5 linked regions of the Oryzias latipes genome follow. The protein of the gene in region 1 purifies or fractionates together with the protein of each later gene. This does not show direct contact. Links are inferred from orthologs where the notes say so. Each region holds a gene or a part of one and is shown in the gene's direction. Other genes may lie near its edges.

Evidence for each region.
Region 2: the proteins of exoc5 (region 1) and exoc3 purify together in Homo sapiens (affinity purification with mass spectrometry; 7 studies listed by BioGRID and IntAct, counting the BioPlex papers as one, with this or other methods). This does not show direct contact. The link is inferred for Oryzias latipes from reciprocal best matches to the Homo sapiens genes EXOC5 and EXOC3.
Region 3: the proteins of exoc5 (region 1) and exoc2 fractionate together in Homo sapiens (co-fractionation; 4 studies listed by BioGRID and IntAct, with this or other methods). This does not show direct contact. The link is inferred for Oryzias latipes from reciprocal best matches to the Homo sapiens genes EXOC5 and EXOC2.
Region 4: the proteins of exoc5 (region 1) and exoc1 purify together in Homo sapiens (affinity purification with mass spectrometry; 4 studies listed by BioGRID and IntAct, counting the BioPlex papers as one, with this or other methods). This does not show direct contact. The link is inferred for Oryzias latipes from reciprocal best matches to the Homo sapiens genes EXOC5 and EXOC1.
Region 5: the proteins of exoc5 (region 1) and exoc7 fractionate together in Homo sapiens (co-fractionation; 4 studies listed by BioGRID and IntAct, with this or other methods). This does not show direct contact. The link is inferred for Oryzias latipes from reciprocal best matches to the Homo sapiens genes EXOC5 and EXOC7.

Annotation. Positions count from the first base shown.
Region 1 is NC_019880.2:12,940,441-12,946,129, reverse strand, and holds part of exoc5 (exocyst complex component 5), read left to right. Parts: intron 1-654; coding exon 655-802; intron 803-885; coding exon 886-1,080; intron 1,081-2,424; coding exon 2,425-2,489; intron 2,490-2,694; coding exon 2,695-2,723; intron 2,724-2,816; coding exon 2,817-2,926; intron 2,927-3,060; coding exon 3,061-3,105; intron 3,106-3,193; coding exon 3,194-3,334; intron 3,335-3,413; coding exon 3,414-3,496; intron 3,497-3,588; coding exon 3,589-3,798; intron 3,799-4,058; coding exon 4,059-4,206; intron 4,207-4,287; coding exon 4,288-4,396; intron 4,397-4,650; coding exon 4,651-4,771; intron 4,772-4,897; coding exon 4,898-4,984; intron 4,985-5,088; coding exon 5,089-5,197; intron 5,198-5,303; coding exon 5,304-5,519; intron 5,520-5,689. UniProt on the Homo sapiens protein: Component of the exocyst complex involved in the docking of exocytic vesicles with fusion sites on the plasma membrane.
Region 2 is NC_019875.2:4,993,378-5,000,074, forward strand, and holds the start of exoc3 (exocyst complex component 3), read left to right. Parts: upstream 1-2,556; 5' UTR 2,557-2,688; intron 2,689-6,279; 5' UTR 6,280-6,346; coding exon 6,347-6,490; intron 6,491-6,697. UniProt on the Homo sapiens protein: Component of the exocyst complex involved in the docking of exocytic vesicles with fusion sites on the plasma membrane.
Region 3 is NC_019862.2:21,227,222-21,233,277, forward strand, and holds part of exoc2 (exocyst complex component 2), read left to right. Parts: intron 1-2,361; coding exon 2,362-2,478; intron 2,479-4,758; coding exon 4,759-4,900; intron 4,901-6,056. UniProt on the Homo sapiens protein: Component of the exocyst complex involved in the docking of exocytic vesicles with fusion sites on the plasma membrane.
Region 4 is NC_019862.2:96,358-102,413, reverse strand, and holds part of exoc1 (exocyst complex component 1), read left to right. Parts: intron 1-81; coding exon 82-269; intron 270-342; coding exon 343-570; intron 571-656; coding exon 657-789; intron 790-874; coding exon 875-984; intron 985-6,056.
Region 5 is NC_019877.2:22,402,254-22,408,309, reverse strand, and holds part of exoc7 (exocyst complex component 7), read left to right. Parts: intron 1-1,040; coding exon 1,041-1,133; intron 1,134-3,258; coding exon 3,259-3,327; intron 3,328-3,505; coding exon 3,506-3,651; intron 3,652-4,245; coding exon 4,246-4,398; intron 4,399-4,475; coding exon 4,476-4,574; intron 4,575-4,653; coding exon 4,654-4,716; intron 4,717-4,789; coding exon 4,790-4,856; intron 4,857-6,056. UniProt on the Homo sapiens protein: Component of the exocyst complex involved in the docking of exocytic vesicles with fusion sites on the plasma membrane.

The DNA of each region.
Region 1 (5,689 bases):
TTACTTATCCTTAGTGTGTGTGTTTTTTTTCCAGTGTGGTTATGATGTTTACACTTGGGAGCATAGTTGTTTCTCGTAAGCAAAACTGCCATAACAATTTAACTCTGCTGTAGACCCGTCCTGACTTATCTACTTCCAACACAAACTGTTTTTACCACTTCTTTGAAAGCTCTCAGTGAAGAGTCAGAGACAACATCTCTTTCGAGGCCACCATACTGTGAGTCACCAGCCAGGGAATGAGTGTCTGTTGGGAGCGGATGGGAGACGTCTAAGCTGTAGCTAGTGCTGAAGGAATTAGAAGATTATACACTCATCGTTTCAGGATGTTTCCCACTCTCTGAAAAGTGGTGCTGACTTAGAACATTTGCACCGCAATCCTAATGGCACTTAAAATGCAGCTGACGAAGCTGAGAGTTTTTTTTAGAGCTTCTTAAGTCTAGGGACCCATGAATTAAGTATTTGACACTATTTTGTACCCCTAAACTGTAACTATACACCAAGTATTACCTTCTGATACCCAATTACTTCTTGAATTAGGGGGATTCGTGCATGTTTTTCAGTTTTTTTGTTTGTTTTTGTTATTTAATTGTGATGTGTTTTTTTTTACCCAATTATAGTATTTTTAATTTTTCTTCCTACTCTTCCTTCCTTTAGGCTGTTGGATGAATTTAAAAGCCACATTGAAGAATTAAAGCAGTTAGATGAGAAGATTCAGCGAAAGGTGGAAAAGCTAGAGGATCAGTGTCATGGAGAGGCCAAGGACTTTGCCCGCAAAGTGCAAGACCTCCAGAGGAGTAACCAGGTCTGTTTGCTGAAAGAAAACAACATCGTACAAACTTTATTCTCTTTGGTTAACCGCTAGATCTTCGTTTTGTGTCATGTCAGGTGGCCTTTCAGCATTTCCAAGAACTCGATGAACACATAAGCTACGTTGCCACCAAGGTTTGTCACCTAGGTGACCAGCTGGAGGGGGTGAATACTCCTCGCCAGAGGGCCGTGGAAGCTCAGCGTCTCATGACTTACTTTAACGAGTTTTTGGATGGAGATCTGCGTAGCGATGTTTTCAATGACCCAGACAAGGTGAGATTATCGTCTAGTTTCTTTTTTTTTTTTTTTTTTGCTGTCATATATGAAGAGGTATGTGTGGGTGTGAAACCACTGATGAGGGGCCCTGCTGGGAAACTGCTGTAGGTGAGTTTGAACAGGATTATGAGTTGAACCATCCATGGAAATTTATAAAGTTTATCCCTTTAGTTGGATCCCTCAGTTAATTTGGATTAATAAACTGTCATTTGCTGTCTGACAATAGCCGGCTGACTGACTAGCATGGATGTCAACACGCTCATGTCAAACCTAATTGCATGTAAAGTGGGATGACTGGGATCAAGAATTTGATTGGTCAGCTTTGCAACACACAGAAAGTTTGTTGCAACACATTTTTTTAGTCATGGAAAAAATGATTCAATGTTTTCTCAGAACAAGTGACCCCAGAGAGTTTGATTCTGCAAAGTAGACACATTGGGGTTTTTTTTGGGTTTTATGTGTGTTTGATGCAACATCTCAACCAGATGCAGAGAGGGAGGTTTGAGGGTCAATCCCACAGACGAGAGCTTGAGATTGAGCCATGCATGCAGATGTATCAAGCCAGATTCCTTTTTCCTGAGCATACCTCCATATGAGGAGGAAAGAGAAAAACTGCAAGTGAATAGCTGAAGGGGAATGGCTTTGCTAATCCTTCTGAAAGGGAGGGCTGGGCCGCCAGCGTGGAGACAAGTGCTGCTAAACCCTGACTGCAGGGAGACGGCTACATTACTTACATGGGATTTAGCTAATCTTAGCTGGGGGACAGATACTTAGAAAACCTTCGCCGAGCAGAAAGGCTGGATCCTCCTCACGGGAGCAGAGTAATGATGTTAGCTGAGACAGGCATCTGCAGGAACAGAGGAGTTGCGGACAGCGGACCTTTTGCGGGTCTGGAGGTTTTTTCGCCAGCATGTATGTCAGGAGAGGTGGAGAGGGCGGGGTGGAGGGGTATCTCGGCAGGGCCCCCTTTTTTTTAGACAGATATCCCTGGCCGGACAGATTATTGAAGGCAATTCAGACTCCTGTGGGATTACAGCCCATTCAGGAAAAAGCCATCCCAATAAAGACTTGGATGTGCTGCTAAGTCAGGACTGCTGCTGTTGCTGCTGCTGATGCCCAGGTGAGCGCAGCCTGTCTGTTATCAGCTCCCTGTTAAACACAGGAAGGTGGAGGAAGGCTGCTCTAAGATGATGATCCCCCAAGTGGAGACACTGCCGGCGGCCGCCCACTTGATAATGGATGTCCACCTCTAATGGCTTTGTTGTGCTCCCTCTCTCCTCCTCCCTCAGCTGGCATCTCCCTCGCTCCCTCTCAAACACACACTTGTTCCCTCTCTTTCAGATTAAGGAAGCTGCTGATATAATTCAGAAGCTGCATCTCATTGCCCAGGAGCTGCCATTTGACAGGTGAGTCAGGCATCCTGGAGGCAGCTTTAGACAAGAGCGCTGTCAAACAAGAAGGAGGAGGTGTATTAGTCTATTCCTGAAAAGTGTAAGCCCCACAGAAACATTAAGCATTAGATGGTATTATTGACTAAGATGCCCCCAAAGAAACTTTCCTTCTGTTTTTTTTATATCTATTGTTTCTAATTGCGCACTTTATCTGTAACAGATTTGCAGATGTCAAAGCAAAAATTGCAAGTAAGTTTCTGACCGGGTCGATCGTCCTCCATTTTTACTACGATGTAACACGCGTTTGCGACATTTTAAGGTTCTGTTTTCATTCCTGCCCAGGCAAATACCACGACCTGGAGAGGCAGTTAATCCAGGAGTTTACTGCAGCCCAGCGCAGGGGTGAGATTGGTCGTATGCGGGAGGTTGCAGCAGTTCTATTACATTTCAAGGTGACCTGGAAAAGACATCTGAAGACACGTTGACTGAGTGTTGGAGTCATAGCCTGTCTGAAAACATCAACTTTGAATGTTATAGTCATTTTCTTGGACTATCAAGGTGGTAACGCCTGTGTTTGTCTAAATAGGGTTATGCACACTGCGTGGACGTCTACATCAAGCAGTGTCAGGAAGTGAGTACTTCAAGTTTGGCAAGAAAAAAGTCTGCCTTTGACTTGGCTGCTTTAATTGACCCATTTTTTGTTGTTGTTCCTGTCTCAGGGTGCCTACACGAGGAACGATGTGTTTGAAGACACCGCAGCGCTTTGCCAGAGGGTCAACAAGCAGGTGGCCGAGGTCTTCAGCAGTCCAGAGACAGTCATGGCTAAACTCATCCAGAATATCTTTGAAAACAAACTACAGGTATGTTTTCCAGTGATTGAGTTTGGATGTGCCATTACTTAAACATTTGTTGATTTTTGGCTGGCTGTTTATTTTACAGGCGCACGTTAGAGAGAAACTGGATGGAACTCGACAGTCTGATGCAGAACAGTACCTCAAAAACCTCTATGACCTTTACACCAGGTGGTTTTGCTTGTCTTTTTCTAATTTACTTCCTGTATGCTCTATAACTCTAACACTTTTTGTTCTTATCTGTTTCTTTTCTGACCTTTCAGGACCACAGCATTGGCTACCAAGCTAACAGAGTTCAACCTTGGTTCAGACAAGCATACGTTCCTTTCCAAGCTGATAAAAAGCATCTTTTCCTCTTATTTGGAAAGTTACATTGACATGGAAAGGGAATACCTTCGTAATCGAGGTGCCATGATTCTGCAACGATACTATGACTCAAAGAATCACCAGAAACGTGCAATAGGCTCTGGCAGGTACGATTTAGCATAAACGTCATGAAGCATTTCAGAATCAGAAATACTTTATTGATCCCATACGTGGGAAATTTGTTCGTTACCATAACAACTGACAGGAGAAAAGACTAAGAATAATATAATTAATAATATAATTTAAAAAAAAAACAAGAACAAGGAAAATGTGGTATCATTTAAAGAGCCATTTTTGGTCTCAAATAAACGTTAGGGTTTCATACAAAAAGATCAAAATGCTAAACGTTTTTTTGTTTTTACTTTAGTATTCAGGAGCTCAAGGAGCGCATCAGACAGCGCACCAACCTTCCACTGGGCCCCAGCCTTGACACCCATGGAGAGACCTTCCTGTCCCCCGAGCTGGTTGTTAATCTGCTGCAGGAGACTCGGCACGCGTTTGAGAGGTGTCACAGGGTGAGCCTCTTCTCCTTCTGTAACGTGAAGGAACATGTATAAACGCAGACTTTGGTGATTTTTTGTTTTGTTTTATTACAGCTTTCAGATCCATCTGATCTGCCTAAAAATGCCTACTCCATCTTCCTACTGCTGGTTGAACATCTGTGTGTGGACCACATCGACTACGCTCTGGAGATTGGCCTTTCAGGTACTTCTGATGAACCAAATTGTACTCTTAAACTGCTTTCTGAGGGCTCATTCTTCTCACTATTAGGAGCTTCAAAGCAGTAGATTCAGGAAGTTGGGACATTAAATAAAGCATAACCTGAGGATCTCCCACAATAATGAAGAGCTAGAAACATTTTAGAGCTAGAATCTCTTTTTCACTAGCCGATAAGCATTAACATTTAATGATCAATATAGCTTAAGTTTGCGTTTGCTGCATTTTTCCTAAATTTTCAGCGATTCCCTCATCCGATGCCAAGAATGCCAACCTGTACTTCCTGGATGTTGTTCAACAGGCAAACTCCATCTTCCACTTGTTTGACAAGCAGTTTAATGACCAGCTGATGCCTCTTATAAGGTCAGTTGTGGTTAAGAATTATCATCTTTGTTTGTTATGCATACTCAGATTTCAAATTACCTTATTTATTTATTTATTTATTTTTGGGGGGGTTCTTTGAATTAAATTTTCTAAACCTGTCTTCAGTTCATCTCCAAAGCTGGCAGAGTGCTTGCAGAAGAAGAAAGAAGTGATCGAACAGATGGAAGTAAAACTGGACACTGGAATTGACAGGTGATTCTTTTTATTTATTTATTTTTTAAGCCATTGATCAACTTTTTTGTTTTTTATTTTGTTTTTTAACAGAAACCAATAATATATGTTTTTGTTATGCACAGAACACTAAACTGTATGGTGGGGCAAATGAAGCACATCCTGGCAACAGAGCAGAAAAAAACAGATTTCCGGCCCGAGGATGAAAACAATGTCATGATCCAGTACACCACAGTAAGAGATGCTTAGCTCGCACGCAGAACAAACAACGCATTGGATGCAATTCATAAAAATCACTTCCAGACTTTTTCCCAACTAGTTCTTCTCGTTTCCCTGACAGGCCTGCTCAAAGGTCTGCGCATACGTCAGTCGGCAGGTGGAGCACGTGCGCAAGTCCATGGATGGGAAAAACGTGGACACGGTGCTGACGGAGTTGGGGGTTCGGTTTCATCGACTCATTCACGAGCATCTACAGCAGTTCAGCTACAGCTCAATGGGCGGCATGCTGGCCATCTGTGACGTGGCTGAATACCGCAGATGCGCCAAGAATTTCAGGGTAATCTGTGACAAAAGGTCAATGTGTCTTTTGTGACTGACTGCATAAACTCTTTCTGTTATACTAATAATTATACCTAATTATTACTTTCACCATCATTTTGGTATGATGATTTCACAGCTGCTTCCTTGATTAAAAAAAAGTAAGATTGATCTGAATGCCTGATTGTT
Region 2 (6,697 bases), on another chromosome or scaffold:
GGGGGATGGATGGAGGGATGGACCGAGGGAGGGATGGAGGGAGTGATGGATGGAGGGATGGATGGAGGGATGGAGGGATGGGGGGATGGATGGAGGGATGGACCGAGGGAGGGATGGATGGATGGATGGAGGGATGGAGGGATGGGGGGATGGATGGAGGGATGGACCGAGGGAGGGATGGATGGAGGGGTGGATGGATGGATGGATGGTTGGAGGGATGGAGTGATGGACCGAAGGAGGGAGGGATGGATGGATGGACAGATGGATGGATGGAGGGATGGAGGGAGGGCTGGATGGAGGGATGGATGGAGGGATGGATGGAGGGATGGATAGAGGTTTGTAACTTGAATAGCTTGTACCACCGAAAAAAAATGTATCAGATCCAGAATAGCTATTCTGATCAATTAAATGACAGTAATAGCTGTTTAGTTCTCTATTGAAGTCTATGGGGTTTTGGTTTCTTGGAGCCGGCAGGTACTTCCTGCTGACTCCAGTGGGAGGGGCTAGCGGGAGGAGCCACGCAGTCCAGTCATGTGACCATTGGCTGTAGATGGTCAAATTGACAGTGAAATGCAGTAGTGGTATTGGGCCTGGGCAATACGGGCAATTGCCCGGGGCGCAAATTTTAATGGGGGGCGGCATCCCCGTGCTTGGAAGAAAAGAAAAATTGAGCCAGTATCGGTTTTCTATATTTCACAGACTTTGGAACAGCCTAAACCGACTGTCCCAAACCAACTGAGACTCCTGTCTCAGAGATGGAAAAGAGCAGGGGGTGGGCGCAGGCTGCGAGGAGGGCAGCTTCGACAATGCAACACCTGGATCATCACGTGCCGTTGGATCACTTAGTTCACATTAATAATGTTATTATTTACTAACAATTGTATTTATTTTTATTAGGTGTATTTTCTGTGGTTTAGTTGGTTTCAGTATTTGACATGAAGACAGCAGGTAATGCAGTAAAACAGCTGCACTTTTTGAGATAATAAATAAACAATCAATCATTTGTTTATTAATGTTTTAAGGTTTTTTGGAGGATTTTTACTGTTGGTGTTGCACAAAATTAGGAAAATGGCAAATATTTTGGGAGTAATCAGTGATGAGTTCTATCATTTAGTTTTTAATGTTTTATAATGTTTTATTATATTCACAATAACAGTTTTTAAAAAAAAAAAAAAACACTAATCCCTCTAATCTGTTTCACAAAGACACAACACAGGACATCACACACCAAGAAATTAGCTGATTGATAAAAATGAAGGCCCGTACACACCGGGACGAATATTCGCCAGGCGTTATTCGCCAGCGTTTTTCGCCACGTTTTTTGTGTTCACACCCAGGCGATTTTCGATGACGATGAGTGGAGTGAACATGCAATTTCATTCCCTGACATTAGATGGCGCTTAATGTAAACAGAAATACTCCTGTACACAAGGTGGCGCTGCGCAGCTTTACGCTTCTTAAAGTCGCTTTTCACTCAGAAGAAGAGAGCAAGTATTTACACGCTTGTCAGAATCAAACAAAGAAAACATGAATATTTCAAGCACCAGTAGCTCCAACTGGTGCTTGGTTCGGGGATGTTTTAGAATGTCCGTCATTATTTCTTCGCGGCAGTGTAGACGCTACTTGGCGTCTATCTTCTTCGCTGGTATGTGTGCTCAGCAAGGCAGTTTTGTGTTTGAGCGCCCCCAAGTTGTGTTTTACTCTAACTTCAGACACGTGAGCAAAAGCGCCATTCTCATTGGTCGAGTAGATTTCGACGCGACGCGTCGAAAAAAAAAAACGAACCCGAGGCGTTTTTTTTTTGACGCTTTAACGCGTGGCATTTTTTCACATCGGTGTGCACACTCTCGTTGGTGCCCTTTGTTTAGTCACGAGGGGTTAAACGTCGGCGAAAATCGCCGGCGAAATTCGTCCCGGTGTGAACAGGCCTTGATGCCAGGAGTCCAGCGCTAAAAAAAACGACAAAAGAGCAGAGAAAACGGCATGATTTGATTTATCATTAAAGTTTCCAGACTTTGTTTGTTTTGTTCTGCGGCATGTTCATAACTGTATAATTTTGACAGAATATATTTTTTTGGAGGGCAAAATATTATACGTCATTTTAGGTTTAACTTGATTTATTCTGTATTAATATTCCTGTCTGTTTTATTCATATTTATGTTCAAAAAGTTAAGTTTAAAAAGTTTAAAAGTTTAGCTTTAGTGTGTTCAGTAAATGTTTATCTTGTTTGACCCAAAACCTAAAGCGTGTTTTTAATTTAGGCCCCCTGTGTGACTGAGTTTGATACCCCTTTAATACTAATTATAAAATTCAGGCATTTTGTGTAAAATGTTAAATAAAGGTAGATAAAGATAGAGACAGAAGGATATCGTGAAATTTGTGTATGCGGGGGAGGGGGGGTTACTCGCCCGGGGAGTAAGTCAGTGTAGAACCGCCACTGGTAAAATGGTCACATGAAATCCTTCCAGAGTATGTGCATTAATGCTGAATGTCCAGCAGGTGGCGGTGCTGACGCAGTTACCCCGCGAAATACGGCAAAGAAGAGACGAAGAAGAAAAAGTAGGCGGTTCTCGGAGGCAAATACGGAAGTGACGTCACACAATAGCAAGGACGTTTAAACGGACTTTATTTGTTTTATTTTTCCTAGATTTGCACCCAGAGTTCCAGTTGATTCCGTGACTGTATGAGGTAAGACGGCGCGGGGCGTGTGTGTGGGCCTGTTGGCGGGAGCCAGGCGGTGGGGGCCGCTGTCGGCCCCGGTTAGCTTAGCTGCAACCCCGGAGCCGCGAACACAGCAGCACTCAGCTGCTGAAGAGACATCTAAGCAAACAGAAGTTCCCACCACGAATGTTGAAATTCACCTGAGTCAGGGAATTGGCAACAATTTTGGCAGGTAGAAAAGCAGCACACCAGCTCCTAGCAAACACGAGCCCCCTTCTTGTCTGTGGTTATTTGTGATGTTGTTTTTGTTGACCTAAGGTCAGGGTCCGGGGGGGTATTCCAGAAAGCAGGTTGGTTATGTGAGTTACCACGGTAAGTTTGAGGCTAAGGAAGTTGATAACCTCAGCTTTCGGTTCCAGAAATGGAGGTATGTTTCAGGATATGAAGTTGCCATAGCAACTCATGCTCTGAACATAACCTGGTCTGGAGCAGGTTTACCTGAAGGTTAGTTTGTTTTTAGAGAGGTGAAGCAGCATGGCGTGTCCATTTGAAGATGATTTAGTGGATGAAGAAGCTCAGTAATACTTTTTCCACCATGAGAGGGTGATGAGACCACGTATGGATGTTGGAAAAATAAACTTTTTTACATTGTTGATCTAACTTAATTATTTAATTAATATATATACTTTTTTTGTTAAGTCAGCTTAAAAATAACATGTAGATTTCAGACAGTTATTTTTACTTTCATTCAAATTAATTCAATTAATTAGGTGTAACTTTGGTGCTGCTGTTAGATCGGCACCGCAAGGGATTGTGGGATATCATTCCCTTTGCCTGTCTGGACGGATTTGGGTTTAAGTGTGGCTTTTTGACCCAATGTGTTTAGTTGTTTAGCTTTTTTACTGTGTTTTACCGAGTTATTTTGTCCTACTAAGCTTATGTCTCTCCACCATGAGTGAGAGCAACGGAGAAGATGATGAGTTTACATAGCACCCCTACCAGTTATTACTGTAACGTCTACGACGGAAATTTTTTTAATCAATTTATGCACGCCGTGCATTTTTTCCCCGTCCTTTTTATTGTTATAATAATGAGTAAACCTGCTCCGGACCAGGTTATGTTCAGAGGTCTCTGGAGCAGGTTTAGTTGAAGGTTAGTTTGTTTACAGAGAGGTGAAGCAGAATGGCGTGTCCATTTAATAATAACAATAATAATAATAATAATAATAAATTTTATTTGTTAGGCGCCTTTCAAGAACACCCAAGGTCGCTGTACATAAAAGTGAAAATAAAATAACAGCAATCGAATGCACAATAAAATATACATATAAATAGGCCAGAAATAGGAAGTTATGGGGGGGGGGGGGGGATAGGCGAGTTGGAAAAGATGAGTTTTCAGTGTTTTAGCGAATTGTGAGAGAGACCCAATGTTTCTGAGGTCCGGAGATAGAGAGTTCCAGAGCCGGGGGGCAGAGCAGCTGAATGCTGACATGGAGGGCCACATTTGGCCCGGGGGCCTTCAGTTTGAACACATGTGCACTAGACAGGGTTCCAGAGCAGCTGAATGCTCTGCCCCCCATAGTGACAAGGCGAGCAGTGGGGACATCCAGATGAAGGGAGGAGGAGGATCTGAGGGTACGGGTGAGAATGGCCACATGAACAAGATCTGATAGATATGATGGAGCAAGTTTGGCAGGTAGAAAAGCAGCACACCAGCTCCTAGCAAACACGAGCCCCCTTCTTCTTGTCTGTGGTTATTTGTGTTGATGTTTTTGTTGACCTAAGGTCAGAGTCCGGGGGGGTATTCCATTCCCACCCGTACCCTCAGATCCTCCTCCTCCCTTCATCTGGATGTCCCCACTGCTCGCCTTGTCACCATGGGGGGCAGAGCATTCAGCTGCTCTGGAACCCTGTCTAGTGCACATGTGTTCAAACTGAAGGCCCCCGGGCCAAATGTGGCCCTCCATGTCATTTTATGTGGCCTGCGAGAGCATAAAAGTTTTTATTTTCTTAAAATAAAAATTGGTGTGTATTTATTCATATCTAGGGGGAATTGGACTTGAAATATGGGATTGGGCAACTAAACATTAGGACTTAAACACTGTCAATATAACCTAACCTGACAGGAAAAAATTTAAAAGGATTTATGCTAGAGTAACACGCAAACATGTGTTTTCTATGCAGCTGTAACTGTCACTTTAAAAGTTACAATAAATAAATAAATTAGTGATTTGACATTAAGGAGAAGTTACGTTTATTTTTCATTACATTTAGTTGCATGTATAAGTTATATCTGGCCCTTTGAGGACAGACACTATGCTGATGTTGCCCTCGGTGAAAATGAGTTTGACACCCCTGGTCTAGTGGGTCTAGATGACCCAACTCCCAATGTTAAAGTGCCTAGGATAGCACAAGGGTTACGTAGGTGTAACTTTGGTGCTGCTGTTAGATCAGCACCACAAGGAATTGTGGGATATCATTCCCTTTGCCTGTCTGTACAGATTTGGGTTTAAGTGTGGTTTTTTGACCAAATGTGTTTAGTTGTTTAGCTGTTTTACTGTGTATTGTCTAGTTATTTGTACTGTTATATTTAATTCTTTCTGCACCATGAGTGAGAGGGAGGGAGAGGATGATGAGTTTATTTAGCACCACTACTGCCAGGTGATGTAATGTTAAAGTCAGAGACATGGTATATGATTTCTATGTTTCATGTTGCAAATCGATTTTGTTTTATTTATTTTCTTGTTATAGAATAGCTATATCTGCAGGCTTAAAATTACACATATGAAAGTTCAAGAAGTACAATAAATTAAGATGAAAAAAACATTTAATTGAATAAATAATATGTAAATTTGAGTTGTAAATAAAATATTGAGTTGGATACACGTAAGAAATTAGGTTAAATAAATTTAACTCATTTACCGGTACTTGTTACCAATAGAAGTAATTCATTTAAGTTGGCAAAGTTGGATATGTTTTTTATATATATATATATATATATATATATATATATATATATATATATATATATATATATACATACAGTATATACATATATACATACAGTATATACATATATACAGTATATATATGCGTCACAATGAAAATAGAAATGAGCTAGAAAATTGTGCGTTTACTTTGTCTGTTATTTTTCTCCAAGCAGAAACTCTTTCTTTTGCTGATGATGCAGCCATGTTACTTTTTTGATGGACTTATAATCTTCATTCGCCATCATTAAAATCTCAGACTCCGTCTCACTGAAGTATAGCGCTCTCTTTTGTTCTCCACATGATCCATTGAGAATGTCTTTATGTACCTTCCGTGCACGTGCTTTAACCCAGGGTTACCAAGTCGAGCGTAATTACGCCAACTCATATCCGGTCCTTTGGAACTGACATACCCAGAGTAAGCAAGTTCAGGCGGAATTCAGCCAGAGTTCAAGCTTAAAGTCAGGGTAGTTTGAACATGCTTCCTGGAATACCCCCCGGCTCAGAGACCCAGCTGCTCTGACTGTCCTCAAAACTCAACTCCAAGATCTGCAGCAACTTGCAGATTATTATTTAGCAGCATCAATAACTGTACAAACTTCACTTAAACAATTCTGTGTTTTTCTCTGCAGGTTTAGACTGTGCAGTGTTATTGAATAGTTGCATGAAGCTCTGGACTCGACTCCACGCAGCAGCAAAATGGAGGAGACCAGTCGGGAGGCGGTTGCCACTGCAGTGCAGCGCGTGGCGGGGATGCTGCAAAGGTCGGACCAGCTGGACAAAGTAGAGCAGTACAGAAGAAGAGAGGCACGCAAGAAGGCTTCTGTGGAAGCCAGACTGAAGGTAAGGGAGGGCAGCCCTCTCTGGATTTTCGCATGGTTACAGGAGAGCGGATCTGCTCCGTCAGTCCACCGGAAACTTGGTTCAGAAGAGGCACACTGATCCAGCTGATAGACCAGGGGTCGGCGACCTTTACCACTCAAAGAATCATTTGGACCAGTTTCCCACAGAAACTGCTCCATCACTGACGTCACGGCTGCAGTAAATGAT
Region 3 (6,056 bases), on another chromosome or scaffold:
GGGCGGCACACTCGTCAGAACCACAAACCTTTATCTGTCTGTTTCCTGGTTGTGGACACGCAGCAGCTACGTCCTCATTTCCTGTAACTCGTTTTGAGAGGTTGGTGAAGGGGGTTAAGCGGTGGGGTGGAGGACGGGGTGGAGGAAGAGCAGGGTATGAAGTGCTTCTGGTAAAGGGAAATGGAGCAAGGTGCAGACGGGGCTTCCCCAGCCTGAATGTGTGCAGCGGGAGTCAGGCAGCCGAGCTCGACTACACAGCGCTGAAGACCGGTGTGAACTGAGGGGTCGGAGCGTTGCTCGATAGGGAGGTGCTAAACACGTAATCTCTCTTTTCTGTTTTCGTGTTCGCCTCAGCAGAGGATAAACAAGGTCTTTCTAGTAAAGTAGAGAATTTTTCAAAATAAAGCGTCAGCCCTGTATGAGTGTCTGTGGGTTTGTCCTTCATTAAAATGAGCTTTTGTGTTATTTTGTCAATTATCATTTTTTTATGTTGTGGTTGAAAGTATACAAGTATACAAGACAATAGGGAAGATTTGAAACTATGTGATGATATTGTACTGTTATGCAACCCGAATCTGAAATTGTGTTGATCTGAAAAAACACAAAACAGGCCTTGAAGCTGCAAATGCATTGGTCTCTGCTTCCGCTCCTCTGAAGAGCCAAAACTGCTGTGAAGCTCTCCACAAATGTGAGCAGGATGTAAACATACAGTGGTGGACAAGATTGTTGGTACCCCTCAGTTAAAGAAAGAAAGTCCACAATGCTCATTGAAATGACTTGAAACATTCAAAAGTAACAATAAATCCAGAGTGGACTTCATGGGAGGTGACCAAGGAGGACACCACTGTTGAAAGGAAATCATAAAAAAGCCAGACTGGAATTTGAAAAAATGCATGTTGACAAGCCACAAAGCTTCTGGGAAAATGTCCTTTGGACAGATGAGACCAAACTGGAGCTTTTTGGTAAGGCACATCAGCTCTATGTTGGTAGACTCAAAAATGAAGCATACAACGAAAAGAACACTGTCCCTACTGTGAAACATGGAGGAGGCTCAGTTCTGTTTTGGGGCTGCTTTGCTGCATCTGGCACAGGGTGTCTTGAAGTTGTGCAAGGTAAAATGAAATCTTAAGATTATCAAGGCATTCTGGATAGAAATGTGCTGCCTAGTGTCAGAAAGCTTGGTCTCAGTCGCAGGTCATGGGTCTTCCAACAGGACAACTATCCAAAACACACAGCCAAAAACCCCCAAGAAAAGCTAAGAGAAAAGCGTTGGACTATTCTGAAGTGGCCTTCTATGAGCCCAGATCTGAATCCCATTGAACATCTGTGGAAGGAGCTGAAACATTCCATTTGGAGAAGACACCCGTCAAACCTGGGACAACTGGAGCAGTTTGCTCATGAGGAGTGGGCCAAAATACCTGTGGACAGGAGCAGAAGGCTCATTGACAAATACAAAAACTGTTTAATTGCAGTGATTGACTCAAAAGGTTGTGCAACAAAATATTAAGTTACGGGTGCCATCATTTTTGTCCAGCCCTATTTCATTAGTTTAAACAAAAAAAGAATTCTGTTAATCAACAACTCAAAAGTAATGGCTGATTTTGATTATCAAATTTTCAATAAATTTTAATTTATTGTTACTTTTGAACATTTCAAGTCATTTCAGTGAGCATCGTGGACTTTCTTTCTTTAACTGAGGGGTACCAACAATTTTGTCCATCACTGTACATCTATTTTAGGTGTGGTTCAAATACACGCATAGGGATGTTATTTTATATTCTCTAATACAGTCAATGGTCCACCCCTGCTTACCCCATCCTTACCCCTGAAAAAGGAGGGATTGAAATAGACTTTATCACTTATTTTCATCCCCCCCCCCTCATCTCAGAGGTCTTTTAATTATTTTATGCCATTTTTAGGCAAAGTCTAAAAACCTGTGTTAGTTTCTAGGACATAGTTTCTGTAGAGCAGCAGTCGTTCATTAGAAACTCTCCTCTGAGTTGTGGGTGGGACCGTTGGCGTGAACCAAACCCCTTCCCTCCCGGTGGCTGAGAGCTTTAAGCAGGGAGCGTTTGGCGTATTTTCTACAGCTAAAAAAGCTAATTTTCAAACTTCATTTTTTTTTCTGTTCCTGATTCGCAACGATTTGAATAAAGAAATACTGAGAAATGCAATTAATTTCTTTATATACATGTCCTCCATCTTTAGAAAAATGCCACAGACACATGTTAAAATACCAAAACACCATTTTCTGCAAACTAGGTCTTCAAAAACATGTGATTATTTAACAAAACGAGTTTGTGCTGGAACAAGGTCTTGGGCTTAAATTACAATCTAACTTTTCCTTTCTTTTATGAACAGGAGCAGCGTTTGCTGATCATTCTGAGCAACTGCCAGTACCTGGAGAGACGCACCTTCCTGAACTTGGCGGATCACTTTGAAAAGCACGGCTTCACGGGAACAGAGAAGATCACGCGGGTCAGTACCTGCTGCTGTGACCTGCAGCTGTTACACTCCTATTGAGGAGAAGTGTGGAGGCGTCATGAGAAGAAAACAAACTACAACAACTAAACTGATCTGTGTGTTTTTTTTCGTTTCTCAGCAAAGGGATGACTAATGAAAAGAAAAAGTCACACTTTTCACCTCTGTTCTCAACATAGTCACACTGCTGCACACAATGACTAATGGCTGAATCACAAAGCTAAGAAGGGTTTGATCTGTTGATTTTCCTGTAAAAACTCACTTTATTTGAAAGATTAAGTTAAAAGTTTGAATTAGACCCGAAAGCATGATGCCTATGATAATTTGTCTAGACTGCTGAGCTGTGCTGCTCCACATTAAACACATTTAACGGTAAACAAGAAAAAGAAGAAAGTATTGAAGGGTTGTACCACTGCTGCACATGCTGCCTTTACAGCATTATTAATAGGAGCTGGTGTCAGAGCAGCATAAATAATGCTAGCAGCTGCTCACAAACACACCATGTGACCAGTTCAGATTGTGCTAACTTATGTAGTGTGCTAAGTTGGTTCTTTTACTCTTTGTCTCAGTCTGGTTTCTTTGCAGTGTTACTCCAATGTCAGATTGAAGGATATACAAGATTTTAAAAAAATCCATCTTGATGCCTGAAAAATTAATTTAGGAGGGTTTAGACCTATTATTTATAAATAAAAATTGGGGGGGGGGGGGGTCTATTTCAATTAAGCCTCAGTTCAAACCATTGACTATATTTGAGAACTGGACTGAGTGACTCCTCCCCCCTTGCATTCCAAACAGGAAGTACCTGCTGGTTCCAAGAAGCTAGACTTTTTCAGAGAAATAAACGGCTATTGCTCAATCATTCCATTTGTAGGAATAACCGTTCTTACTCTGCTACATTTTTTGCTAATCCTCTTTATTTACCATTATTATTATTCTTTATTTCAAGTTATTCAAGTATATTCACTGAACAATCAGATGCCTCAATGAAGGTATGCGTTTTAAGTCAATTGTTTGAAAAGTTTGATTGACAGATTCTACCAAGACCACTTTCAAAAGATAGGGGTGTGACCTTTCAACAAGCTTACTCCTGGTTGGCAAGAGTGGTCGCCATAGAAACGATGACTCAAACTGATTTGGACCAATCACTGCTTACTTACGATTTCTGGCTCCAACATGGCAACATCTACATTGCGAAAAAATGGCGACTGAATTGACTTCATTTGGTTGGAGCCAGAACAAAGTCAGTCCAGTTCTCCTTTATAGTCAATGGCGTAAGCCAACTCTTTCATAATATTTAATTCCATCTCTCTTCCAGCCAAGAATTAAGCTGATGGCAAAGAAAAAAATAGTCGATCATAGTATTAAACCTTTTTTCTTTTCTTTTTGAAAATCTTTGTGTTTCTCCACACTGCAGAACAACACAAAGAGGAAAAAAGATTCATAATAACACATTTCAATTTTTCTGCTTTAGGTTATGCTTATGGATGTGTTTAAGACCCAGGTCTGGATGTCACTTTGCTCCTCAGCCAAGCATGTCAAAGGATAGTAAACATTAGATCCGTTCAAACAGAATCTCTCTGGAATGAAAGCATAAGTACTGCATTCTGCTGCTCTAAAAGTGCAGGAATGGATCCAATGTTAAACGGACATTTAGCACACATTTGTTTGTTTGTACATTTGTTCACACTGGACTGTCACTACCCATACTAGCGCATGTGCCTAAAGTTGGAAGAGGCTTGGTTCGAAATGTCAAAGCCCTGCAAACCTTATGAATCTTGCTACAATTCTCACAGTTCTATTCTGAGATATGAAAGACTTGCTGTCATAGAATAACGGCTGAGCCCAACGTGCAGCTGTTAATTTCTCTTCCACGATCAATTTTCAAACGTTGGGCACTTCCGTCAATTAAAGGGATGCCATCCATGCGTCACTACCAAATCAGAGTCTCTGATTGGTCAAAGATCAAACTTGTTTAACTTTCAACATGCTTTTGATGACAGCATGTTTTGTACATGGAGCCTAAAAACAGTCCTAAAATTGTGCGTAGCGACACATGAATGCTAAAGTGTTGAACACAGATGCCCTAACGCACATATATGTGCGTTTACAAAGACTTTTCAATGGAAGTGATCTCTTGAACGTGTTGCAGATGGCGATGTAAGCAGCTTAATCCACTTTTTATTCTTTTTAATTTCTTTTTTACTTTCCACTTACAAGGTCATGTCCAAAGAAATAGATGACAGCAGCCATCTTTCTCTTTCCCTCCTCGTCCTCCAGGTGAGCATGGACGCCATCCGAGAGCTGGACCGGAAACTCTTTGAAGCTTACATCGAGCGGCGTGCCGACCCCATCGCCGGCTCCCTAGAGCCTGGAATCTACGCTGGATACTTTGACTGGAGGGACTGCCAGACGCCGTCAGGTATCACCTGATGAATGCCAGGAGCCGCGTTTGAGACCATGAGGGAAACCCCCACCATCACCACTCATTGACCCAAGGAGCATGAGAGATCAGCCACCAGCAGACTTGTTTAGTCAAAACCTGGTGACTTTGGTCTCTTCAGCTCAGTTGTGGTTAGAGTGTGTCATGTATGAAGTACAGCTCTTTGAAGCCTTACTGTAAACACTGCTGAGTTCATGCTCTCGCTCTTCTTCCTCAAGCTCTCACGGCCTTTTCTGTGGAGGTGTGGGTGTGAAGTAATTTTTTACTTTACATTGACATTTCTCCCTCAAGCTTTACAAACAAAGGTGAAACTTTAATATGAGTGTGCGGTTGAACCTAACGCAGGATGTGAAGCAACAAAACAGAGCTAGTGAATCTGTCAGAAAGGGCTACGGTTTAGCCTTTTTTTTTTTTTTTTTTACCTTGTCTTGACAACAAAAAAAAGTGTGAGCCCCACACAGGTTTGTTGCTTCCTCTGAAAGTTCATGTTTGAGCTTACATCCGAAAGAGGAACATTATGGACAGCAAACCACAGTTCTAGGATATGATACTTTCACTTGTCGCACTCCTTGTGTCGGTCCTATTTTAGCGTGTGGGGTGTTGCAGGGCATCGAGAATCCGGTTTCAGTACGTTTTTTTTTGTTGCTGCTTTTGTCTATGTCACTTACAGATTTTAGTGTTTGGTTTATTTTAAAGTACTGCTCTTTTATTGACAATACAATTAGGCATCAGCAAATTCTGGCCTTCTGTGCATTTTTTAAACGCAAGAAATGATTGATTTTATTAGAAAGTGTCTTAAGTTATATTTATAGGAAGACAAACATCTTTCCTCTACTTGGTTGTGCTCTGGAACATTAGGATTTCTGGATTTGTGTTTTGCCAACAAGATAACAATTCATCAAATAAATAAAGAATTATAATCTCTGAATTTGGGCTGTCTGCACCATCATACACTGCTGAAAAAGGCAAAACTATGATGCACACAAGAAATGTATCATGATCTGTTTATTTTCCTATTATGGCAGTTACATGGTGTACAGTTTTGCTCAACTGCTAAACGTTAGCATTTTAGAAAAAGCTCTGGCGGTTAAATTCCTAAAGTCATCGATATACTTTCAATACACTTGTGTCCTAC
Region 4 (6,056 bases), on another chromosome or scaffold:
TTAAGTTTGTCCTGAAATCTCTGATTATGTTTATAAGCCTTCGTCTTGTGTTTTTGTTTGTTTTTCTGTTTGTTTATTCAGAGTCTGTGCCAAGTGGCGAGAGTCAAAGTGTCGCAGGGGGCGATGAGGATGCTTTGGATGACTACCAGGAGCTCAGCACCCGAGAGGAGCAGGACATTGAGAGCATGATGGAGATGTGCGAGTATGCCATCTCTAACGCTGAGGCTTTTGCAGAAAAGCTCTTCAAGGAACTGCAGGTCTTAGATGGGGTGAGTAATACAACCAACTATTTCAGAGCCATATTTATCATCTTTGTCAATATTCATCTTCTGTCTCTTTTAGGCCAACATTCAGTCCATCATGGCGTCAGAGAAGCAGGTGAATATCCTGATGCAGCTGCTAGATGAGGCACTTGGAGAGGTGGACACCATAGAGGGGAAACTGAGTAGCTATGAGGAAATGCTTCAGAGCGTCAAGGAGCAGATGGACCAGATCTCTCAGAGCAACCGCCTAATTCAAATCAGCAACACTAACAACGGCAAACTTCTGGATGAGATCCAGTTCTTAGTGGTAACAAATTCTTTGAATCAGTCCAGAGGTGTCAGAGAATTGAGCTTGAGTTTCTCAGATGGGCTTTGACTCACTTTTTCATGCAGAATTACATGGACTTGTCTAAGGGACACATCAGAGCTCTGCAGGATGGGGACCTCACCTCCTCTAAAGGAATTGAGGCCTGCATCAACGCCTCTGAAGCCCTTCTGCAGTGCATGAATGTTGCCCTCCGACCAGGTAAATTTACATGAAGCCTTGTTATCGTGATCGTCTGTTTTTTGTCTTCGTTTGAATGGAAAGTTGTGCACCTTTCTCTGTTCAGGCCATGAAAAGCTGTTGTCTGTGAAACAACAGCAGCAGATGTTTACCGATCTGAGGGACACATTTGCCCGCCGCCTCACCAATCACCTCAACAACGTGTTTGTCCACCAGGTAACACACTCGCCATTATTAGAACTTCTTTACCAGTACTTCTGCTGAGGTTTACAAAAAAAGGAAGAATACAGTCAGAGACATCTAAAAGCTGCTATGAGATGTGGATTTAATGTTGTATTTCCATGTAAAAAAAATTCAAGTACGAACTTTTCTTTTTAAAATAATCATGGAGGAAATACTTTTTTGATACCTTGCTGATTTTGAAGGTTTGCTTACTTAAAAATAGACAGCCTGTCATCCTAATGATAGGTTCATTTGAACAGTGAGAAATTGAAAATGTCTTTAATGAATTAATATGCATTTATTTGCATTTCACTGAGGGAAATAAGTACGGTATTTGATGCCCAAGTAACCATTAAGAGTTCTGTTTCGCACAGACCAATTAGATTCGCTTAATCAACCTGTTACCTGAATTGAAGACGCCTGTCCACAGAATCAGTCCATTAGTCAGACTCCAAACTCTCCAACATGGGAAACACTAAAGAGCTTTCAGTGGATTAAAGGGCGACGATTGTACTCTTGCACAAGACCAGAATGATTTGCAGAACCATCAGCAAGAAGCTGGGGGTTAAGGTGACAACTGCAATTGGTATAAAATACATGAACATGACCATCAATCCACCTACAGTCAGGACCATAAATATGTTGACATAGATGTGAAAAACTAAAGCATTTTCTAAACACAATCCCTTCATTTCATGGGCTGGTAAGTAATTGGACAAATTAAATAACTGAACAACAAAATGGTCATTACTCACTTCCCATGAGTCTTGGGGGCTTAAGGTGGGGCTATCCCTCAGGTCGCCACACTGTGTTGTAGATTGAGGATGTACAGTGAGGTCAATAAGTATTTGATCACCCTGTGATTTAGCAAGTTCTCCCTCTTAGAAAACATGGAGGGGTCTAAAATTTTCATCATAGGTGCATTTCCACAGTGAGAGACAGAATCTGAAGAAACATTCAGAAATCACGTTGTATGATTTTTTTTTAAACGATTTATTTGTATATTACTGTGAAAAATAAGTATTTGATCACTTGATTATCAGATAGATTTCTGATCAGCAAAGACCTGCTGTTCTGCTTTTAAATAGTCCAACTCCACTCTGCTCATGATTCTAAATTAGTGGCACCTGTTTGAGGTGGTTAGCTTGCATAAAGGCACCTGTGCCCCCCCCCACAATCAGTCAGAAGTCTAACTATCAACATGGGCAAAACCAAAGAGCTGTCATAAGACGCAAGAGATAAAATTGTAGACCTTCATAAAGCTGGAAGTGGCTACGGGGCAATTGCCAAGCAGCTTGGTGAGAAAAGAACAACTGTTGGAGCAATTGTCAGAAAATGGAAGAGGCTAATGATGACTGTCAATGTCCCTCGGACTGGGGCCCCTTGCAAGATCTCACCTTGTGGGGTATCGATGATGCTAAGGAAGGGGAAGAATCAGCCCAGGACTACACAGGAGGAGCTGGTCAATGACCTGAAGAGAGGTGGGACCACCGTTTCCAAGGCTACTATAAGTAATACATTAAAACGTCATGGTTTAAAATCATGTATCGCATGGAAGGTTCCCCTGCTGAAGTCAGCCCATGTCAAGCCCCGTCTGAAGTTTGCCAATGACCATCTTGATGATCCAGAGGAGTCATGGGAGAAAGTCTTGTGGTCAGTAAGAAGCCTTGTAAGAAGCATATCAAAATAGAACTTTTTGGTCTTAACTCCATTCGGCGTGTTTGGAGGAGAAAGGAGGAGCATCATCCCAAGAACACTATACCTACAGTGAAGCACGGGGGTGGAAGTATCATCTGCACAGGGGACAGGACGACTGCACTGTGTGAAGGAGAGGATGAACTGGGCTCTGTATTGTGAGATATTGAGAAAAAAGCTCCTTACCTCAGTCAGAGCGTTGTAGATGGGTCATGGCTGGGTCTTTCAGAATGACAATGACCCGAAGCACACAGCCAAGAAAACCAAGGAGTGGCTCCGTAAGAAGCATATTAAGGTTCTGGAGTGGCTTAGCCAGTCTCCAGACCTAAATCCAATAGAGAACCTTTGGAGGGAGCTGAAACTCCGTGTTGCTCTGCGACAGCCCCGAACCCTGACAGATCTAGAGAAGATCTGTGTGGAGGAGTGGGCCAAAATCCCTGCTGCAGTGTGTAGAAACCTAGTGAAGAACTACAGGAACCGTTTGACCTCTGTAATTGTTAACAAAGGCTTCTGTACCAAATATTAAAGTTGTTTAACCCAAGTGATCAAATACTTATTTGTCACAGTAATGTACAAATAAATTGTTTAAAAAAATTGTACAACATGATTTCTGAATGTTTTTTCAGATTCTGTCTCTCACTGTGGAAATGCACCTATGATAAAAATTTTAGACCCCTCCATGTTTTCTGGGAGAACGTGGGAGAACTTTCTAAATCACAGGGTAATCAAATACTTATTGACCTCACTGTATATGTGCTGAAACCGCGTGCATGTTTAAAAAAGAGGAGGGAGCTGCAACGGAAGGAGGGGAGAACGGGAGAGCAGCTCCTATCTCCTTCCGCGGCAGCAATATGGTAGTAAAGGGGCTGGTTAATAAAACATACCAGTAAAAGAGAGCAGTAGTGACTTTAAAGCGCCCCTATCAGCGCGGCATGCGCTAGAAGTTTCCTTCCACAACAGTGTCACACCGTTGCTCCGCGGACGCCTCTGCGCTCCGCCCTTGCCCCGCGGGCTCCTTGTCTTTCCCTTCCTATCTTCTCCGACACCCCTCGCGAGGGGGGCACCAGGGAAGAGCACTTCGTGCCCCCTGACGTCCAGTCCCTGCACGCGGGGCGCGGCTGCTGGTGGACGGAGCGAACCGTGTCTCTGAGCAGCGCAGCCGGACTTAATTTTTTGTGTTCGAGGGGCGGGGAGGATGCTTTGTTACGGGAGGGAGGCTACAGACTGCCATCTGTCCCGCAGCACTATGTGAACGAGCAGCCGAATTCAGGAGAACCACGTCTCCATCTCACACAGCGGCTTTTTGGCAGTGTGTGAGCTCTTCAAAGCAAAATGCCGCTCAGTCCTTAGAAACCGTTCAAACACGTGGATTTGTGTTTCTAGTCGTGTCCTGACAAAAGAAAGGCTTATGTTATTCCCACATATTTACGTTCAGCCAAGCTGCAGATTGTGGCATTTCCTGCATCAATTTTATGTTCATCCAGGCTAAATGTTGTTGTTAGCGCATGTTAGCCTTCACCTAACCATTCTTCCGGTTTCGTTCTGCCGCAAAAAAGCACTGACCACACGGATAAAAAATAAAATGATGAGCTAACAGGCGCTTCATAATAACCATAACAATAATATAAGCATGCGGTGGGGGGGTTCATATTACACCTGAGCCGGGGGTGTTCGTGTCCCTGGGGGGTGGGTCCTGGTCCTTGCCCCTGGGCGCTGGGCCCCGCCAAACTTCCAACATGGCCGAGCCTGGTCGGGCCATATTTATAACATCCCTTGTGGGCCGCCCTTTTTTCCCCGGGGTTCCCCCCTCCTGGGCGGGGGCGGCGGGCCCCTGCCTTGCTCCTACCTGGACCAACCGTGGGCCGGGTGGGTGGCTGCCTGGAGTGCGGAGCGGGTCTCCCTTGGGGGGTCCTGGCTCGTACCTGGGGTCGGGGCGGGGGGATGCCCGGAACTCCTGGGTGGTGGTGGGGTGCTCGTCTGGGGCTGTGGGCGTCCCTCTCCGGTGGGGCCCTGCGTTGGGCTCTTCCGGCGCGGCGGGGGGCTGCTTTCCTGGCTGGGCTGGGGCGGCGCTCTCTTTCCCTCTGCGCCTCCCTGCTCTCTGGCTCTGGGGGCCTCGCGGCGGTCCTGCTGGCCCTGGCCTGGGTGGCGGTCTTGGTCGCCCGGGGGGCGGTTGTTCCCTGCCTGTTCCCGTGTGGCATTGGGGGAATTCCGGCTGCCGCTGCTGCTGCGGCGGGGGTCTGGGTGTGGGGGTGGCTGGGCGCTCCTCCTCCTTCTTTTCACATTCCACCATCCATTTTAGAAGAACATAAACACTCACCTGAGCACAGGTGTTAGCTCACCTTTGCACTAATAGTTTGCATGATTGAATGAATGAAAGATTTCACACTAGTTGGTTTAAAGGCATAGGTATGCGTTCGTGAACACTATCTGTTTTGTGTGCATGTTGACATGTGGACATTTTTGCGGCTAGCAGGTGTGTTGATAATATTTGAGTGTGTGTGAACAGGCCCCGCCCTTTTTGTACTACATTTGAACCGTACCGTAACGATAAACAACCAGTAAACCTGTCTGCTCTATGCTGCTTCATGGTCTTACCCCCCTTCCCCTCCTATTATCACCCTCCTACCCCCCCCTCTCTCTAACGTCCCTCTCTCTTCTTCCCCTCTTTCCTTTTCCGTCCAGTCCAACACCAAAGATTTTCAAACATGATTGAAATTAATAAAGTTTGGCCTCAATTACAAAAGGGGTTTATTCAGACATACCTTTGGTTTGTCTGAAGATGAATAACCCCTCTTGTTAAAATATGTCCAACACAAGAGGCCCTCAGCTCTCATCTGTTTGCCTAGCTGTTGGACAGGACAAGTTAAAAAAAAAAAAAAAAAAATATATATATATATATATATATATATATATATATATAAGCATGTTTAAAAGATCATCTCGTATATTACGGATCTGCTAAATAGATGGTCTAGTGTCACTCTGACTTCTCTCCTAAATTCCCTCCTGAGCATACGCTGTTCTCTCCGTCACGCAGCAGACCGGCTTTTCCAAACCCGTCGATGATAGTGGATTTTTTCACACTGCTTTTAATGATTGCTTTTAACTTGAAAGCTGCGTCATATTGTAGTGGCGGTCACGCTGGGTTTAATGGCACCAAAGGATTGTGGGATGGGGCTTGGCATGGGTGTTTCTTTTATTGGACCAAGTGTCTAATAGCTAAAGTGAGCTCCATGCTGTTTGGCTAGTTGTAGGTGTGTCTAAAACAAAAGGGCTTGTTGCTGGAAGTTGGATCATGCATTCAGCCTCTCCTACGAGACTGTGCGTGCACTTCCGGCGGCCGTCAAATAAATCCATAAATTAGCCGCATC
Region 5 (6,056 bases), on another chromosome or scaffold:
ATTAGGACATTAATCAGGACGTAGACGGACGCAGTAGGGGGACGGTTTCCTGTTTGTAATTAGGACGTAGACAGACGCAGTAGGGGGACAATGTCCTATTTGTAATCAGGACATTAATCAGGACGTAGACGGACGCAGTAGGGGGACAATTTCCTGTTTGTATTTAGGATGTAGACTGACGCAGTAGGGGGACGATATCCTGTTTGTAATCAGGACGTAGACGGACGAAGTAGGGGGACGATGTCCTGTTTGTAATCAGGACATTTATCAGGACGTAGACGGTTGCAGTAGGGGGACGATGTCCTGTTTGTAATCAGGACAACAATCAGGACGTAGACGGACACAGTAGGGGGACAATTTCCTGTTTGTATTTAGGATGTAGACTGACGCAGTAGGGGGACAATGTCCTATTTGTAAACAGGACATTAATCAGGACGTAGACGGACGAAGTAGGGGGACAATGTCCTGTTTGTAATCGGGACGTCGCTGACTTGAACGCTATGCAGGGCGAGGAAGCCATCGGACGTCCAGTTGCTCACGTTTGTTGTCATTGGCTGCACGTGTGATAGAGCCGCCCGCCGTCTGCTGCTTTGTCATTTGCATTTCTGTACTTTAAGGTAAGGAAAAGGAATGAGCGCAGCTCCAAATGTTCCACCTGCCTACCAACCCACAATGCGCTGAGGCTGCGTTCGTGCTGTAATGTTTTCTGGATGTCATCTGATTATGATCTGCTGATGTTCATGTATGACCTGTGACCTAACCTGTGTGCTTTCTTACATGTGTGTTTCCACACAGCAGTCCTGTAGTGCTGTTGTTGGGTTGACTGGTTTTGGTGCTATAGGTGGTGCTCCCTCTCCCCCACCCCAAAAACAAACCCTGCTGGTTGCCCCATTGGTGGAGGGATGTGGTGTCTGCCTTTCATCACACTCGTTTCCCGCTTCTTTTTCTTCTTCCTCTTTCTTCTGGTGTTTCTTGGTTGTCTGGACCTTGCTGGCCCCACTCCTCTCCTCTGGACTCTTTCTCTGTGTTTGTGGGACCAGGGACCATTCGCAAGGCTCAGAACCTTCTGAAACAGTACTCACAGCATGGGCTGGATGGGAAAAAGGGGGGTTCTAACCTCACTCCTTTGGAAGGTAAAGCACCTTGGTCTTCTCTGTCTCTTTTTTCCAGCTGGTTTCAGTCAAACACAAAGTCCCAACAGCCGGCCAAAGCAGCTTCTAGACTGTACCGCTTCAGATCATTGGACACATGATGGACAGCACTCACGATGAACGGAACCATTCTGCAAGTTATCCCTCTGAAAAAGCTGACTTTGGTCTGCAATGTTCATTATAGAAACATTTTGACACAATGTGAATACAGAATCCAGAAAGCACAATGTTTGAGTTTCTTTGTATAATAGAGCAGAAAATAAATGTTCAGTCACTGAGAAAAGTTCATCTCAGTACTTTGTAATGTGGTTCCAATGACAGAGGTCAAAGGTTTGGAACCGATAGACTTTTTGTAACTGTCAGTAGCAGTTCCATTGTGGGTGGTTCATCAGGGAAATAGTAAAAAAAAGTTGAAAAAAACATTATATAGTAAGAAACAGCACAAGGCTGGCTCCTGTTCCCCACAAGGTTTCCTGAAGATTTTCAGACGATCTGAACTGTAGTTGCTAATTTGGTCCATTCTTCCATGCAGATCTTCTCTAGAGCTGTGCTGTTTTTGGGGCTGTTGCTGGGCAACCACTCCCTCCACAGATTCTCCATGGATTGAGGTCCAGGGACCGTTGGAACACTCTAGAACCCTGAAATCCTTTAGACACTCTTTACTTTGCTGGGTGATCTTTGGGGGATTCTTTTAGTAATGCTGGAAGATCCAGACATGTTCCATCCCTGATGTTCTCCCTATTGGAAGGAGGTTTTTGTCCAAAATCTCCCCATACGTGACCCAATTCCCCTTTTGCTTCATACGGATCAGGCCGGTCGTTGACCGGCTCCCCCTGTAGTTCTGGACTGTGTACAAACTTGTCCCTGGTGTCCTCAGACAGCTCCTTGGTGGAGAGGTCTGCCTGTATAAGGGTGTGGACAGGTGTCTTTTCTACAGGTAACCAGTTCAAACAGGTGACATGAACACAGGTAACCAGTGGAGGATAGAAGAGCTTCTTAAAGAAGGAGGAACGGGTCTGTGAGGAACTGAATCCTTGCTGGCTTCTAGATGAATCCTTATTTTCTGCTCCATTATACAATCATTATTTAAAGATCAGACATTGTGATTTCCTGCATTCTTTCTTTACATTTTGTCTCTCACATTAAAGTGTTTCTATGATGAACATCTCAGACCAAACTCAGCTTTTTAGAGGGACGACCTGAGGAATCTGTGGCTGACAAATATGTTTTTGCTTCACTGCTTTAAAGCAAACATTTGTCTTCAGGCGTTTTTAACACAAACCTCACTTGAAGTCAATTGGCTCTGCTAAAAAAATTTCTTTTAATAAAGTTCAAACGGATTTTTTATTTTAGTTGACCCGGCTTTGAATATTAGGTTGTCTAAAAATGCAAAATAAATGCATTTACACCAACAATGTTAAGTTCAATTATTCCAATGTAATTCAGTCTCCACTCCGTCCTTTGCCCCCACAAAGACATGTTTTTAGAAAACCTACAGATTAACCAGCAATCCCATCAGTAATGAAATTAAAAGGTTTGATATGATGAAGATAAAGTCAAAAGTGGCACAAGCACCCAAATCTGACCTCTTACTTCTTTAAAATGTCTTTTTTGATTGATTCATTTATGCATCAATTCAATTCAAGTTTATTTGTAGAGCCCAAATTCAAACAACAGTCGTCTCAATGGGCTTCGCACCGGTAGACCATGAACACATGAGACCTTTCTCCCATTAATAGCTTTCAATCAAGTCGGGTCGGGAAGTTATCAGGAAAGAAGAATTCATTTTCTGCTTAAACTCCCATCCAACTGATAAACTGGTGTCAGACGTGGGGTTTTCCCATTTTCCCATCAGGAAATCTGTCAAAAGCTGCAATGAATCCAAAGCTGTTGTGACATTTGAAGCTGGTTTTTGTCCCACAGTTTAACATGTAGACTGGTTCAGAACCAGTTTACATTTCACTCATCTTGGGTGGGCACGCCCTGCCTTTTCTCTCTGGTGCTTGGTGGTGGGCGGTTCAGGTCAGGTTTGTCCCCTCTCCCCCCTCTTAGCCTAGTCTTGACCTCGTTTTGACTAGTCTCCCTGCTGGCCCGCCCCACCCACCAGGTTACGATCATGACCCACGGGTCAAACACATCACTGAGGCCCTGACTGAGAAGCATGGGGCTGCCCCAGGTGAGTGACGAATTCCAGAAGTTCAGAGGTTGATCAGAGAGGCAACCTCAGCTCAGTTTCTTCCTTTAACAATCAAGTTCTTATAAAGTAAGAAGTTAAACTCCGGGCTGAAGTTGTTGTTTAGATCCTTGTCTTATGTTTTGTCAGCTGACGGGAGCTCTTGTTATGCAACTCTTAGGGAAAGACGATGTTCTTGACATCGAGATCGACTCCTACATCCACTGCATCAGTGCCTTTGTGAAGCTGGCTCAGAGCGAGTACGCCCTGCTGACCGAGATCATCCCTGAACACCACCAGAAGAAGACCTTTGACTCCCTCATCCAGGTCAGAGGAGTCAAACCAGGGAGCTTTCATTGAGGATTTCCCAGACAATTTGGTTTTAGGGGTTAGACGTAGTGACACAAAAGTATTCAACAATCCTTTTATCTGTAATCACCGGGCAGAAGTACAGCATCAGATATGCAGGAAGGGCTCTTGAGGATTTAATCAGGTGCTGCTGTTGAAAGTAAAGCTTCTGTAGAACATCCACCTGAGGTTCCAGGTGTTGGTCATTTGCTAAAGGTTTCCCTACCATCTACAGTAATGAAACTCCACAGTCAAGAAAAAATAAACCAAAGCAACAATCAAATTTGAAACCTCATTCTCCTCTGATTGCTGACATCAACCATCCAGTTTTTTTCCTTTTTTAGGTCATTCTCTGTTTGTTGGTTGAGTGTCCAGTAGATGAGCAGTTGACGCTAAAAACTCTTTAGTCACTCTTACTGTTTTTCTTCACCGTATCTGACCATTGATACCATAGATTACCATAGACACGGACACCTTTTATCTGGCTGAAAGGATTTTAATGATTAAAAGCAGGACATTTTTCCCTAAGCCACATTCTGGTTGCATGCTCAGTTTCATCATGTCTGTCCACAGGAAGCATTGGACAACCTGATGCTGGAAGGAGACAACATTGTGTCTGCAGCTCGCAGGGCCATCATGCGCCACGACTACTCGGCGGTGCTCACCATCTTCCCCATCCTCAGACATCTGAAGATGAACAAGTCAGACTTTGACTCCACACTTCAGGTTGGGTCTGCGGCGTCTCATTTCTGGAAGAAGCTGGTCTTGGGGTGTTTAGCGACTGTACTTGATTTGACGTGCAGGGAACGGCGGCGAGCACCAAGAACAAACTGCCAACGCTCATCACGTCCATGGAGACGATTGGAGCCAAAGCACTGGAAGAGTTTGCAGACAGCATTAAGGCATGCGGCTCCCACTTAAACCACCCCTTGTCTATTGGCTGCTGGTCATTTACATGGGTTTTCTCTCCACTAACTACAGAATGATCCTGATAAAGAGTACAACATGCCCAAAGATGGAACAGTGCATGAGCTCACCAGCAACGTAAGCTTGGTTTCTGCTCTGCACTGCCTCTCCGGTTATTTGCCGCTTGTTTGAGCTCTCTGTCTCCGTTCAGGCCATTCTGTTCCTGCAGCAGCTGCTGGACTTCCACGAGACTGCAGGAGCCATGCTGGCATCTCAAGGTTTGCTCCTTTGTGTAGCTCTGCAGACGTCCACCCACCACCTGTCTGTCTGAAAACATCATGGCAGATACACAAACACGAGCACCCAAAGGGAATTCAAATTTCAAGTCAGTGCCAGGCATCCATTTCTTCCTTTCCAGCCTGCTCATGTCAAGAATTTGATAGATTTTAGCTACAGTGGGGGACAGGAGAGAGAAATATTGAACAGGAAGACAGTTCCTGCCAAATGACAGAGGAGAATGGCGAGAATCTGCCTGGAATTTTGCAAACCAATAGAAACAAACCTGGAGACACAGAGATAAGTGCAGAATCTCATATTAGCTGGAGAACGAACCATCTCAGTTTCTCCTTTTACCGTAAGGTTCAGCTTTTTTGTGTTGAGTAGCCACTGCTTTTTAAGCCAATAAGACAGTAAAATGAATGGTGCGCGCCGATCGACGAGCATATATTGAGGAGCTTGCTGAGGAGGCAGAAAGAGCTACAACCCGAGGAGAACAAGGCCAGCTGTACAGAATTAGTCGACAAGTATGTGGAAAACACCACTCTACTGTCAGCTTACCAATTAAAGATAAACAGGGGAAGCTTCTCACAACAGAAGCAGAACAAGATACCCGCTGGGCTGAACATTTTCAGGAAGTTTTGAACAGAGATCCACCAACAGAAGGAGCAGATATTCCAGAAGGAAAGACAGACCTAGACATCAACACAGACCCACCAACAAAGGAGGAAATTGTCTCAGTTATCAAGTCACTGAAAAGCAATAAAGCACCAGGTCACGACAATTTGAATGCTGAACTGTTCAAGACGGACACAGAAACAGCATCAAAAATATTGCAACCTTTTTTCAAAACCGTTTGGATATCAGCAAGCATACCAGAAGAATGGACTAAAGGTGTAATCATCAAAATTCCAAAGAAGGGCACACTCAGCGAATGTAACAACTGGCGTGGTATCACCCTTCTGTCCATCCCCAGCAAGATTATGGCCAAGATAATCATCAATAGGTTATCGGAAGCTGTGAATGCAATACTTAGGAAGGAACAAGCCGGTTTTAGAAAAGGGAGAAGATGCACGGAACAGATTTTTGCTCTGAGAAACATAATAGAACAAAGTGCTGAATGGCAGCAGCAGCTCTTCGTTAACTTTATAGACTTTGAAAAAGCATTTGACAGTGTGCACAGAGACAGCTTGTGGCGAATC